Linked DNA regions of Canis lupus familiaris. The protein of the gene in region 1 purifies or fractionates together with the protein of each later gene. This does not show direct contact. Links are inferred from orthologs where the notes say so. Each region holds a gene or a part of one and is shown in the gene's direction. Other genes may lie near its edges.

Evidence for each region.
Region 2: the proteins of STYX (region 1) and FBXW7 purify together in Homo sapiens (affinity purification with western blotting; 4 studies listed by BioGRID and IntAct, with this or other methods). This does not show direct contact. The link is inferred for Canis lupus familiaris from reciprocal best matches to the Homo sapiens genes STYX and FBXW7.
Region 3: the proteins of STYX (region 1) and FBXL12 purify together in Homo sapiens (affinity purification with mass spectrometry; 4 studies listed by BioGRID and IntAct, with this or other methods). This does not show direct contact. The link is inferred for Canis lupus familiaris from reciprocal best matches to the Homo sapiens genes STYX and FBXL12.

What each region holds. Positions count from the first base shown.
Region 1 is NC_049229.1:29,225,522-29,229,145, forward strand, and holds part of STYX (serine/threonine/tyrosine-interacting protein), read left to right. Parts: intron 1-865; coding exon 866-959; intron 960-2,786; coding exon 2,787-2,860; 3' UTR 2,861-3,624. UniProt on the Homo sapiens protein: Catalytically inactive phosphatase. Acts as a nuclear anchor for MAPK1/MAPK3 (ERK1/ERK2). Modulates cell-fate decisions and cell migration by spatiotemporal regulation of MAPK1/MAPK3 (ERK1/ERK2).
Region 2 is NC_049236.1:50,770,871-50,775,038, reverse strand, and holds the start of FBXW7 (F-box/WD repeat-containing protein 7), read left to right. Parts: upstream 1-1,339; 5' UTR 1,340-1,423; intron 1,424-4,168. UniProt on the Homo sapiens protein: Substrate recognition component of a SCF (SKP1-CUL1-F-box protein) E3 ubiquitin-protein ligase complex which mediates the ubiquitination and subsequent proteasomal degradation of target proteins.
Region 3 is NC_049241.1:51,576,840-51,581,187, forward strand, and holds the start of FBXL12 (F-box/LRR-repeat protein 12), read left to right. Parts: upstream 1-1,449; 5' UTR 1,450-1,705; coding exon 1,706-1,791; intron 1,792-1,901; coding exon 1,902-1,974; intron 1,975-4,348. UniProt on the Homo sapiens protein: Substrate-recognition component of the SCF (SKP1-CUL1-F-box protein)-type E3 ubiquitin ligase complex.

The sequences.
Region 1 (3,624 bases):
TCCATTAAGTGACTTATTACTCTAATTTTTAAAATATTTTACAACTGTATAACATTTTATCTTTACTGAACTTCATTTTATTTTTATCATTTTTTGAGTTTGGGGGATGTGTGTGTGTGTTTTAACAGAGGAAGTTAGAGATCATATAGCTAACACCCAGTGGCAGAAAACAGATAACTGCCTGACTAGCAGTTCAGTGTATGATACCCTAGTGCAAGTTGTTAATGTGGCTTGATTTATAGTTTTGTCAGTAAATGTGAAAATATGAGATAGGAATTTTATTTTAATTTTTTTATGATAAGAATTTTAAACTTGCATTTATTTCTCTTTTAAAAATATGTATTTGGGCAGCCCCGGTGGCTCAGTGGTTTAGAGCCACCTTCAGCCCTGGGTGTGATCCTGGAGACCTGGGATCGAGTCCCACATGGGGCTCCCTGCATGGAGCCTGCTTCTCCCTCTGCCTGTGTCTCTGCCTCTCTTTCTCGCTCTCTCTCTCTGTTTCTCATGAATAAATAAAGTCTTTAAATAAAATAAGTTTCTCATGAAGTCTTTAAATAAATAAAATATGTATTTATTAGAGAGAGAGTGCATGGCAAGAGTGTTGGGGGGTGGGACAGGCAGACTCTGCACTGAGTGTGGAGCCTGACGTGGGGCTCCATTCCACAACCTTGAGATCATGACTTTATATGAAACCAAGAGTCAGCCACTTAACATACTGAGCCACCCAGGTATCCCTAAACTCTTTCAACAGTATGGCACCAAATTTTTCAGTATAAACTAAGAATACAAATAATGTACACATTAATCACTGTTTTGGGTACCCAAGAATTTGAATGTATATTCAAGTTAATTAAATCTTTTTCAGGAATATGAAGCCATCTATCTAGCAAAATTAACAATACAGATGATGTCACCACTGCAGATAGAAAGGTCGTTATCTGTTCATTCTGGACCTACAGGTAAGGATTTTTGTATTTTAGAGAGGGTTGGGGAGAAGGATGATGGTATGAAGGGTAGAAAGCATTTTTTGCTCTTTATAAGTTATACTGAACAATCTAAATTATTTAGAAAACATTGGGTAGACAATACACAATACACAATATTAAACACAATATAATTGCAAATTTTAATTTTATAATGAATCCATGTGTATTATATTGAGTTTCTGCTGTGTGTATACCATTGTACCTGGTTAATAGAATATGCTGGCTGGAAGATCAAACTTCTACTTAAGTCTTTACATAGTATAACTGCTATAAAGATTAAAATAATAAGAGGGATCTGGAGAAGGGGCTCTAAGTACACTCAGGTGATCTTATTAAAAATAAAAATAAAAGGTGATTAATAAATGAAAGGATTTTTCAGGTTAAGTAGGTTGACTACTATGAGCTACTCCAATTTTTCTCTTGTAATTAGTATTTCAATCCCTTCTCCTTTTCTTCCTTATGCCTGTCAGAGTACTCCTTCCCCTATTTTCAAAGTTAATGATCCAAGCATGCTTTCAAAATCTTTTAACTTGTGTCTTCTTTTCTAAGACCTTGCTACCTTTGTTTATCTCTTTTTTTACTCAGTCTCATTCTATTTCAGGTCGATATTGGCCTCCCATCCAAACTCTCACTTGGTCTATTCTGTACATTGTGGCCAGATTTATTTTTACAAAAGATAGTTCTGATGTATTTTTCCTGTACAAAAGCCTTCACTGGCTTAAATCCTTCAGAAGAAAACCTAGAGTGTTAATAGTAAGTAAGGTGCTTCTGGATCTTGGTATCTCCCAGTGTTCCTCTTTATATAGGCACTCCAGAAAGCCAAACTACTTGATGGTTTCATTTTGTCTCTTTTCTCCTCCTAGAATGCACATTCAGTCTTTCTACCCTTAAAAACTTAGTTCATGTTATATCTCCTCAAGAGAAATGATGATTAACTTCATCTTCCTCCAATCCCTAGTTATTCGGAACTCCTATAGAGCTTTATTTATACCTCCTCACTTTCTACTTTGCATTAGTTATTTATGCCTCATACCTCTTTTAGAATGCAGGTATAGCACTGCATCTGAAATTTAGCTATAGCAGCCGTATTATCTGCTGCAAGCCATCCTTTCTCCCAGCTCTAGACCTGTTGGTAATAAAACCACAGCTTTCAATGGAAAAATTTTCAGCAGTGTCTATGAAAGCAAAAAAGATAATCTACAAAATAAAATTGTACAATGTAAAATTAATGTCTTATATTTTATGTTCTAAGTCATAGAGTCTGGTGCCTAAAGGTAACCAAACATTTAAGTACCATTATTTCCTTTAAAATTCTATTTTAGGGGTGCCTGGGTGACTCAATTGATTAAATGTCTGCCTTTGGCTCAGGTCATGATCCCAGTGTCCTGGGATGGAGTCCCACATTAGGCTCCTTGCTCTGTAGGGAGTCTGCTTCTCACTTTCCCTGCCGCTCCCTCTTTGTGGGCTTGCTTGCTCTCTGTCACTCGATATTGTCATTTTATATAATCTTTAAAATATATTTTTTTCAAACTATTTTAAAAATGATTATTAGTAATACTAAGACATAATTTTAGTAATACCTAAGACATAATTAATTCTCACGAGGGGAAATGTATTCTGTCATGAAGATACAAAGTTGCTTAGTAATTTATAGCAAAAGGATTTGCTGACGTTTCCTAAAAATTCAGTCTTGGAATTCTCATAGTGCATATACATGATAACACTTTATGAAAATGAAATTTTACTAGCTCTAACATTCTCACAAATGAGTTCCCGTTATATTCATGCAATAATTTTTAGGCAGTTTGAAGAGAACACATGAAGAAGAAGAGGATTTTGGAAACATGCAAGTAGCGACTGCACAGAATGGCTGACTCAAGAGCAACATTATAGAGGATGTGAATTTCTATTTGGGAAGGAGAAAATACTAGAGACAATAATAATGTAAAATGGTAAAAACACAAGTCTTTTTTTTTTTTTTTTTTTCCAATTACATGTTGCTTCCAGGTGTGTTTCTCTGCAACTTGTTGAGCAACATTTTAAGAAGATGTTGGACTTCTGCAATAGATGGCACTGGTTTTACTCCTTTTTTTCTTTTCCTTTCCTTTTTCTTTTCTTTCTTTCTTTCTTTCTTTCTTTCTTTCTTTCTTTCTTTCTTTCTTTCTTTCTTTCTTTCTTTCTTTTTACACTTTACAGTTTTATTATAAACAAGAATTTTGGACTTGCAAAGAGGTATTATTGCAATAATGCACTTTTCATACTTGAAATTTATTTGTATGATATAAAGTTATTACTTTAAACAAAATGCAAGTTAGGGGGGATTTGTTTATAAAATCTGGGTAATTTATAACAAGAATTTCCTAAAGTTTGCTAAAAATTCATTTTGTGTTCTATATATTACATTTAAAAAATAATTTTACAGTTGACTTTTATGATGGAACCTCTTATGGAAACATTAACATGCAGGAATCTGCCACATTTTTGTTTTAGTATAACTCAATAGCTTCATTACCCTTTTATTTTTTTAAATTTCTTAATCCTTATTAATCTTTGAATCATGACATTAGCTAACTCTTCTTACTTTAACATCCAAGTATTGCTTCCATTCGTCTTATCTTCCTAATTTGTTAATTCTATA
Region 2 (4,168 bases), on another chromosome or scaffold:
TCCCCTTCCTCTCCTCGGTTCTGACGCGGCCGCAGAGGCGGCGGCGGCGGCGGCGGCAGGTCCCGCGGCCCGAGGCGCACCCACCCGCTCGCGGAGCCCCGACTTCCTCTTCCCTTCCCGCGTCATCAGAGCGCGCCGCAGTCACCCAGGGCGGGGTGCCTAGAACCGGGGGAAAAAAAAAAAGGCCCGCGGAGGAAACGTCCCGGCGGAAAGAAAAGGGCGGGGGTGAGGGGAGCGGTTGCTAGGTGACTTGCGTCATCCGGCCGCGCCGCTTTCCTCCCGCCCCTCTCTGGAGTGAGGCGAGAGCCCCGCACAGAGCGAGCGAGACAGCGAGCGGAGCTCCGGGCGCCGCCGCCGCCGCCGCGGAGAGCGTGAGAGCGAGCGAGCGTCCGCGGGACCCGGCCCCCGGGCACCGGCCGCCGCCGAGACCTCCGTCCTGACCCGGACCGGCGGGAGCCGCGGCCGCCCCTCTTCTCCCCCCCTCGCCTTCCCGGCCGGCAGCCGCGGCTGCACACGCCGGAGCCCGAGCCCGAGCCCGAGCCCGAGCCCGAGCCGGAGCCGGAGCCGGCGGCTGGGGGGCAGGGAGGCGGCTACCTCGGGCCGGGACTCGTCAGCCGCTCCGCGCTGCGAAGACGCCGAGGACGGGCCGGAGCTTCCGTCTCGTCCCGGGCCGCGGGGCGAGGGACCCCCGACGTGTAGGGAGGGGGTCCCGGCCGCAGCGACACATGCGGGAGCCGGGAGCGGGGGCGGCGCCGAGCGGAGCCGGCCGGGTCCCCCCCCTCGCCGCCGCCTCGGCCGCCCGCCCGGGGCCGTAGCATCTGGCCCCGGAGTGTATGAGCCGGGGGCCCGAGCTCAGCAGCCACCCCCCGGCCGGGGGGGCGGGGACCCCGATGTGAGGCGGCGGCCCGGGCGCGGCGGGGAGAGCGGGAGCGGCGCCGCCGTCCTTCCCTCGCCTTCCCCCCGTCCTCAGCCCCCTCGCGGGGGGGTCCTCTCCCTCGGCCAGCCGCCGGCCCCCCGGCTCCTCGGCAGGACTCCGGGAGGAGTTCCCAGAGCCCCCTCCCCCGCCCCAGCCCCGAGGGCGGCGGGGCCGGGGGGGACCCGGGGGGCCGGCCGCAGCCTCAGCGCAACAGGAAAACTTGGGAAGAGCAGAATCTGGAGCCTCGCCGACGGGACTGTCCCGGGAGACGCGGCCCGGGGCGGGCAGGAGACGCAGCCTGAAGACACCCAGGAAGAGGGCGGCAGGAGGGAAGCGGGGCGGCCGCCGCCTCCCGGGCCCCGGCAGCGCGGAAGAGCCCGGCTGGCCGCCCGGCTTGGCGCGAGCACCGCTCCGCCCTCACAGCGCCGGAGCCTTCCGCGGCCGCCGCCTCCCCGACGGAGGACGGGCGCCGGCCCGGTTCGCAGCGCCGCGGCTCTCCCGCGAAGTGTGAGTGGCCCGGGGAGAGGGCGCCGGGGCGGGGGGCGGGGGGGGGGGGGCGGGTTGGCGCTGCCGGAGTGGGGCGCGCGTTCGCGGGGTGCGGGTGCGGGTGCGGGTGCGCGTGTGGATGAGGCGCGGTGCATCTGTATCTTTACCGCGGGGGAGAAGGTTTGGGCCGTCCTGGGTCTCGGGACGCTTCACCTCTTTGTACGGGTAACGCGCAAGCTTACAGGTCCCTGTCTCAGGGGAGTTCTGTCTTTGTCCAGAGCGGACACTTGCACCTTTCTGGCCAGAAATCGGCAAAAGGAAATTGAGGAAGCCAAAGCATATGTGCACACAAAGGACATCTCTGTAATACACCTTTTCCTGGTGCACCGGGTGTGAAACAGCGCTGTGGTTTTTGTTTCGGGGCAACTCTTAGGGTTCTTGGGAGGGAACCTTTTACCCTGTGAACCCCTGAATTTTACTTTCGGTAAAATTCCTTTCTTGTTTTTGCAGTCTTCCTTGAGAGATTTTCATTTCAGTACCTATTGGTACAGGAGTTGTTTTTTTTTTTTTTTTTTTTTCTTCTTCTTCTTCTTCTTCTTCTTCTTCTTTTTTTTTTCTTTCTTTCTTTATTTCTTTTTTAACCTTCTCATTTCCTGGGTCCAACTCCTGCGTGTCAGGATACTGTAAGAGATTTCAGGTACTCAGGAAGTTGACTCTTACCAATCATGACTTACTTGGGGGAAGAGCATCTAGTACTTCAAGCAGTTTATAAAAGTTGTTACCTTTTTCCCCCTACCCAAATGCCTTTTCTTTTCTTTTCTTTTTTTAATTTTTGAGTAGCCTATCTTAATTGCCAGCACTTTTTTTTTTTTTTTTAATTTGGCAGGATGACTTGAAACTTTGCTTGTTTGAGTTATCCTTACTTTGCTACCAAACAGGGAGAAACTTTTTGATATTTGATTATTTGAAGAGTGATTCTTTTCTCTTCCCTTCCATTATTAGAAGGTGAGGTTTAGGTATCCCGTCAAAGTGCCCAGGCGAGGTGCAGGAAAGTAAGGACCATTCCATGTATTTAAATAGACCTTAAGTGTTAAGCATAGGGTGGAATTTTATTTAACAGAACATAGGCAGTACCATACTGAGAATTGTGACTCCTCCAGACAACAGTGTAGGCTCACTACCTGTGAAGCCGCTGCTGAGAGAAGCTTTGTGGGAATGAATGAAAGGCTGGGATTGTCTGTGCTAACTTCTCCATTCAGGATCTTGATTTTACATATATTTAAAACTTTCTCAAATAGGGTTTTCGTTTGTACTTTTTCGAGGTAGTGGGTTATACAAGTGTACTAGCCCCTGAAATATTTGACATTTCATTTATTTATCCCAAACCCGTCTCTTTAAAGTCCCAAGGCACCTCCAGCGTTTTTGTTTTGAGAATGCTAGGACACGCTAGAGTTCATCTTTTCCTGGTTTTTTAGATTTCGATTGTTCCTCTTTATTTACCATCATCATGCCTAGTTTTCTGTGTCAGTCTTAGAATGATTTCTTTGATCCCTTGATCGTTTTGCCTCTCCTGGAACTTTTCCAGCTGTTTTGTTTCTCTTTATATATTTGTGCTTGGGATGCTTTTGTAAGGAACCTTAAGTTCTATCTATTTTAAATGGGTAATGACATGAAAATTCTGATGAGTAGATGTAATGTTAGATGTTGAATCAAAAGCAAATGTCTCTGGATCTGTTATCTTATTTTGAGACCTTGAGGAAGTCCTGTATCCCATGTTTCACAAAAGATGGGAGGAAGAGAAATCTAGTCTGGGCATAGGCTGTTTTTTGGGGAGGAAGGGAAGCCATACCTAGCAAACTATAACTTGAGTGTAGATTTGTACTCTGTCGAAGTTGCTTACTAACTTTAAGACTTCTTTTTTATTGCTTTGACTGGAGATTGGTTAAAAAGCACGGTAATGTTTTATTGTATGTTTGGGTAGCAAAGAAACAGCAAAGTATTTGGGGTCCCTGCCTTTGAGATGCTTTTACTTATGGCATAGGCTATGAAACATAAATTCTACAAAATTGTAGGAAAAGGGGGGAATGAGCCAATATTTATTTACAATCATTATATGTCATACTACTCTGGTGCCTTATAGGTATAAATGTATTTGTATATTTTCCATTAGCAAAATGTTGGTGTTGGACTATACAAACCCAATTGGAATGTCTGAACCAAATCTGGGAAAGAAGGTCTCTCTTAGGAAGAAAGATACAGGTGGAGGTAGTGTTTAAGACTTTTGGAATTGGGGGGTGTGAGGGACAAATGTAATCAGGAAGTTAGCTTGATGGGAATATGGATGGAGGTTGTTAAGTGGGCTTAGAGTCAGTTTGTGTTTGTGCAGTTACATGTATACAGCCCAAAGGAGCAATTGAGAACAATGTTCCGAGAGGGTAGTTTTAGGTGATTGAGGAGAAATTGTATTTTTAGTTCAAGAGGCATTATACCTGGAGTAGTTTTGTTTTTCTAGTGAACCAACATTTTAAACCATGGTCATCAAAGAGCTCTACAACTGGAGGAGTGAAAAAGGAGATGTTCTAGTTTGGTGCTAGTGGTTTCTTATAGAAAATAATTCAGAAATAGGGCAATGGACTTTGTTTTTGACATTACATTTTAGGGCAAAAAGTTGGTGCTGATGCAATCTGAAGACAGAAAAATAGTTAAACTAATGAGTGATATGCTGAAAATGTAAAGTTAGGAGTCATTTTCACAGTATTAAGGTTT
Region 3 (4,348 bases), on another chromosome or scaffold:
AGAGAGAGAGGGGCAGAGACACAACAGGCAGAGGGAGAAGCAGGCTCCATGCACCGGGAGCCTGATGTGGGATTCGATCCCGGGTCTCCAGGATCGCGCCCTGGGCCAAAGGCAGGCGCCAAACCGCTGCGCCACCCAGGGATCCCCAAACGGCTAATTTTTAAATGAACTACTAATTTAGTGAATGATGGTGGTACCTTGCTGGCTCAGTCTGCAGCATGGGACCCTTGATCTTGGGGTTGTGGGTTCCAGCCCCATCTTGGGCATAGAAAATACTTGAAAATAAAATCTTAAAAATAGTGATATGGGCATGTAGCTGTCAGTGGGTAGAATATGTGACTCTTGATCTCCAACTTGTAAGTTCAAGACCCAGGTTGGGTATAGAGATTACTTAAAAATAAAATCTTTTTTTAAATGATTTATTTATTTATTCATAGAGACAGAGTGAGAGAGAGGCAGAGACACAGGCAGAGGGAGAAGCAGGCTCCATGCAGGGAGCCCGACATAAGACTCGATCCCTGGACTCCAGGATCACGCCCTGGGCGAAAGGCAGACGCCAAACCGCTGAGCCACGCAGGGATCCCCATTGCTCATTTAAAAAAAAAATATTTTATTTTGGGCAGCCCGGGTGGCTCAGCGGTTTAGCGCCTGCCTTGCGCTCAGGGTGTGGTCCTGCAGTTCCGGGATCGAGTCCCACATTGGGCTCCCTGCATGGAGCCTGCTTCTCCCTCTGCCTGTGTCTTTGCCTCTCTCTCTTTCTGTGTCTCCCATGAATAAATAAATAAAATATATTTTTTAAATGAGCAATATATATTTGGTGGGAGTGTCAGTTCAGCCTCTGTGGAGAACAATTTGGGACTATCAATCTAAATGAAAAATTGAACACACCCTTTGTTAAACTATTTCTGTTCTACAAATTTATTCTTGTTCATAGGCATCAAAAAGCATTAGTAAATAAAAAAGGGCCTCGCTCCCCCTTAGGACAACCCCGGGTTGTTCCCCGCCCCCCACCCTGCACCTCCGCTGTCAGGGCGCCTTCCCAGCTGGGTCCTGGGGGCTGTAGCCCCGCCCCCGGCCCCTCGTCACCGCCCTTGGCCCCGCCCCTGGGCCTCCCGTCACCACCCCAGCCACTTATCTCGGCTCTATCTCCATCCTTAGCCCCGCCGGAGCCTCCGCCCCGCCCCTAGCCCCGCCCCCAGCCTTGTCCCAGCCCTTAATCCCGCTCCAGGGCCTCGTCCTCGACCCAAACACGCCCCGGGTCTCCCGTCACCTCCCCAGGCTCGCCCCGGGGCCCCTAGTCACCGCCCCAGCCGCGCCTTCCAGGTTTGGTCCGAGCCCTAGCCCCGCCCCCAGCCTCGTCACCGCCCCTGGCCCCGCCTCCGGAACGCCCCGAGCTTCGGCTAGCCCCGCCCCCTGCCTCGTCACCGCCCCTGGCCCCGCCTCCGGGCCGCGCCGGAGCTTCAGCCACGCCTTCCGGGCTCGGGCCTGGTTCCCAGCCCCATCCTCCGCGCTCCGTCCGGGTCGCGGCGGCTCTGTCGCTGGGACCGGACCATGTTCCCGCAGGAGGAAAGCTGAAAGTCCGTCCGCTGCCGGAGGCGGCGGCCACCGCTCTGCTGGCACCCCCGCCCTCCGCCGCCCGCTGGCCTCCCCGGGACGAGATCCCGAAGCCCCTCAGCCGCCAGCGGAAGTGGGTGTCGGCCGGATCATGGCGACTTTGGCCGACCTGCCGGACTCAGTCCTGTTGGAGATCTTCTCCTACCTCCCGGTCCGGGACCGGATCCGCATCTCCAGGTGCCGGCCCGCACCCCGCGCGGGGAGGTGGCGGGAAGGCCGGGGCCGGGGCCGGGGCCGGGGCCGGGGCCGGGGCCGGGGTTGTTCTAACGGCGGGTCCCCTCCCCCAGGGTTTGTCACCGCTGGAAGAGGCTGGTGGACGACCGGTGGCTCTGGCGACATGTCGACCTGACGCTGTACACGGTACGCGGGGCCGACCGGGCGGGCGTGGGCCGCGGTGGGGCGTCTGGCCCTCGAACCCCGGATTTGGAGCTTGGCAGCCCGGGGCGCGTCGGGCAACGTCGCTTGCCTGCTCCTCAGCCTGTTTCCCCATCGCCCAACCGGGGATAAGCGAGATCGTGCAGGGAGAGAGCTTAGAGCCGCGTCTGGCACACAGTGAGCATATGACAAAAGTTAGTTGCTTACATCGTGTATTAATGAGTTTTCCTGGAGAAATCATTTTCCAGATTCAACTTAATTTCCAGAATTTATTTCCTGAGTAGCGCAACCAAACCTTTTTACACTTTTCCCCATTTGCATCGTATTTATTTTTCCTGTTTTATTTAGCATGAACTATTTCAAATATATTATAGAAACGTGTAGAGGATTATATCTGAAACCAACTAGGCATTCATCACCCAGATTCTTTTTTTTTTTTTTTTTTTTTAAGATTTTATGTATTGGGCACCTGGCTGGCTCAGTGGTTGAGCATCTGCCTTCAGCTCGGGTCGTGGTCCCAGGATCCTGGGATCAAGTCCTGCATTGGGCTCCCCTCGGGGAGCCTGTGAGAGCCTGGATCCCAGGACCCCAGGATCAACAACCTGAGCTGAAGGCAGACGCTCAACCACTGAGCCACCCAGGTGTCCCATCATCACCTAGACTTCTCTCTCTCTCTTTTTTTTTTTTTTTAAGATTTTTAATTTATTTATTCATGAGAGACAAAGAGAGAGAGAGAGGGAGAGAGAGGCAGAGACACAGAGGGAGAAGGAGGCTCCATGCAGGGAGCCTGATGTGGGACTCGATCCCACGACTCCAGGATCACGCCTTGGGCTGAAGGCGGCGCTAAACCGCTGAGCCATCCGGGCTGCCCAGATTTTTTTTTTTTTTTTTAAGAATTTATTTATTTATTCATGAGGGGGAGAGAGAGAGAGAGAGAGAGAGAGAGAGAGAAAGAAAAGAAAGAAAGAAAATAAAAGAAAGAAAGAAAGAAGAAAAAGAAAGGAGAAAGAAAGAAAAGAAAAGAAAAGAAAAAGAAAAGAAAAGAAAAGAAAAGAAAAGAAAAGAAAAGAAATAAAAGAAGAAAAGAAAAGAAAAAAGACACAGGCAGAGGGAGAAACAGGCTCCATGCAGGGTCGCGGGACTCGGTCCTGGGTCCCCAGGATCACGTCCGGGCCAAGGCGGTGCTAAACCGCTGAGCCAACCAGGCTGCCCTACCCAGATTTAACCCACTTTGATCTTTGGTCATTTTTGCCGCACATCATGTGAAACATACATGCAAAGGTTTACGTATATATATATACACATGACATTTATAGATATATTCGTTACATTTTTTTGAAGCTGTCCTCAGAGGTAGCCACTATTGTAAAATGCGTTTGTAGTCTTCCGTTCACATTTTTATTTCCTTCCTGTGTGAGTGCAGGGAAGCAATATGTAATTTTGTTAATGTTTTCCTAAAATTTAAATAATGGTATTCTATTTAGGTAAATAAATGCTGCTTATTATATATCCACCCACAACTAGCTTTATTCACACAACATTGCTTTTGAGATTTATTTTGACTGAGAATGTAAATCTAGTTCATTCCTTTTAAAGTGTTAAATGAATATACCACAATTTATCTGTTTTCCTGTTGACAGACATTTAGTTATTTCCAACTTTCTACTATTATAAATAAGTGTTATAAAGGAATATTTCAGACTTGCCTGTGTATATAAATTACCTAAGGATCTTGTTAAAATGCTGATTCTGATTCAGTGAACTGGATGGGGCCCCAGATTCCAAATTTCGAATAACCTCCAGGGTTTATGCTATGCATTTTTTCTGCCTTTTTTTTTTTTAAAGGTAAAATGTACCTACAATAAAATGCACAGTGCTTCCAATATTTTGTTTTCTAGTAATTAGCTTTCCAGGGTTAATTTTTGCAGCTTTCACCATTTACTATGTTGTGATTATTCTTATTTATAACATGGCTCTAATTTACTCTGGACAGTTCTAGCCTTTTTCAGTTTTATTTTGTGTTGCTTATTTCTACTGGCAGTGGTCATTAAGAAAGGGATAAAATGCTGGTGAGTCGCTTTGCTTTCTTACTCCAGATAATGAGAATCCACTCAGTTGCTAAAGACAAATCTATTATGATCTTCTCTTTTCTTTCCTTGTTTTTGTTCAAACCTAGAAATCAAAATGATGGAATTAAATTCTCTTGCTACTCCTGTGAGGTGCAGGGTCAGGCTGGCAGGGGAAGAGCAGAAGCCCTGGGGAGCACTAGAGCCCCACCCATCCGGGGCCTGTCTGTCTCCAAGCAGCCAGGGGCCTTGGAATAATCTCCATTTCTCTCACCCTGTCACACCCATCTCTG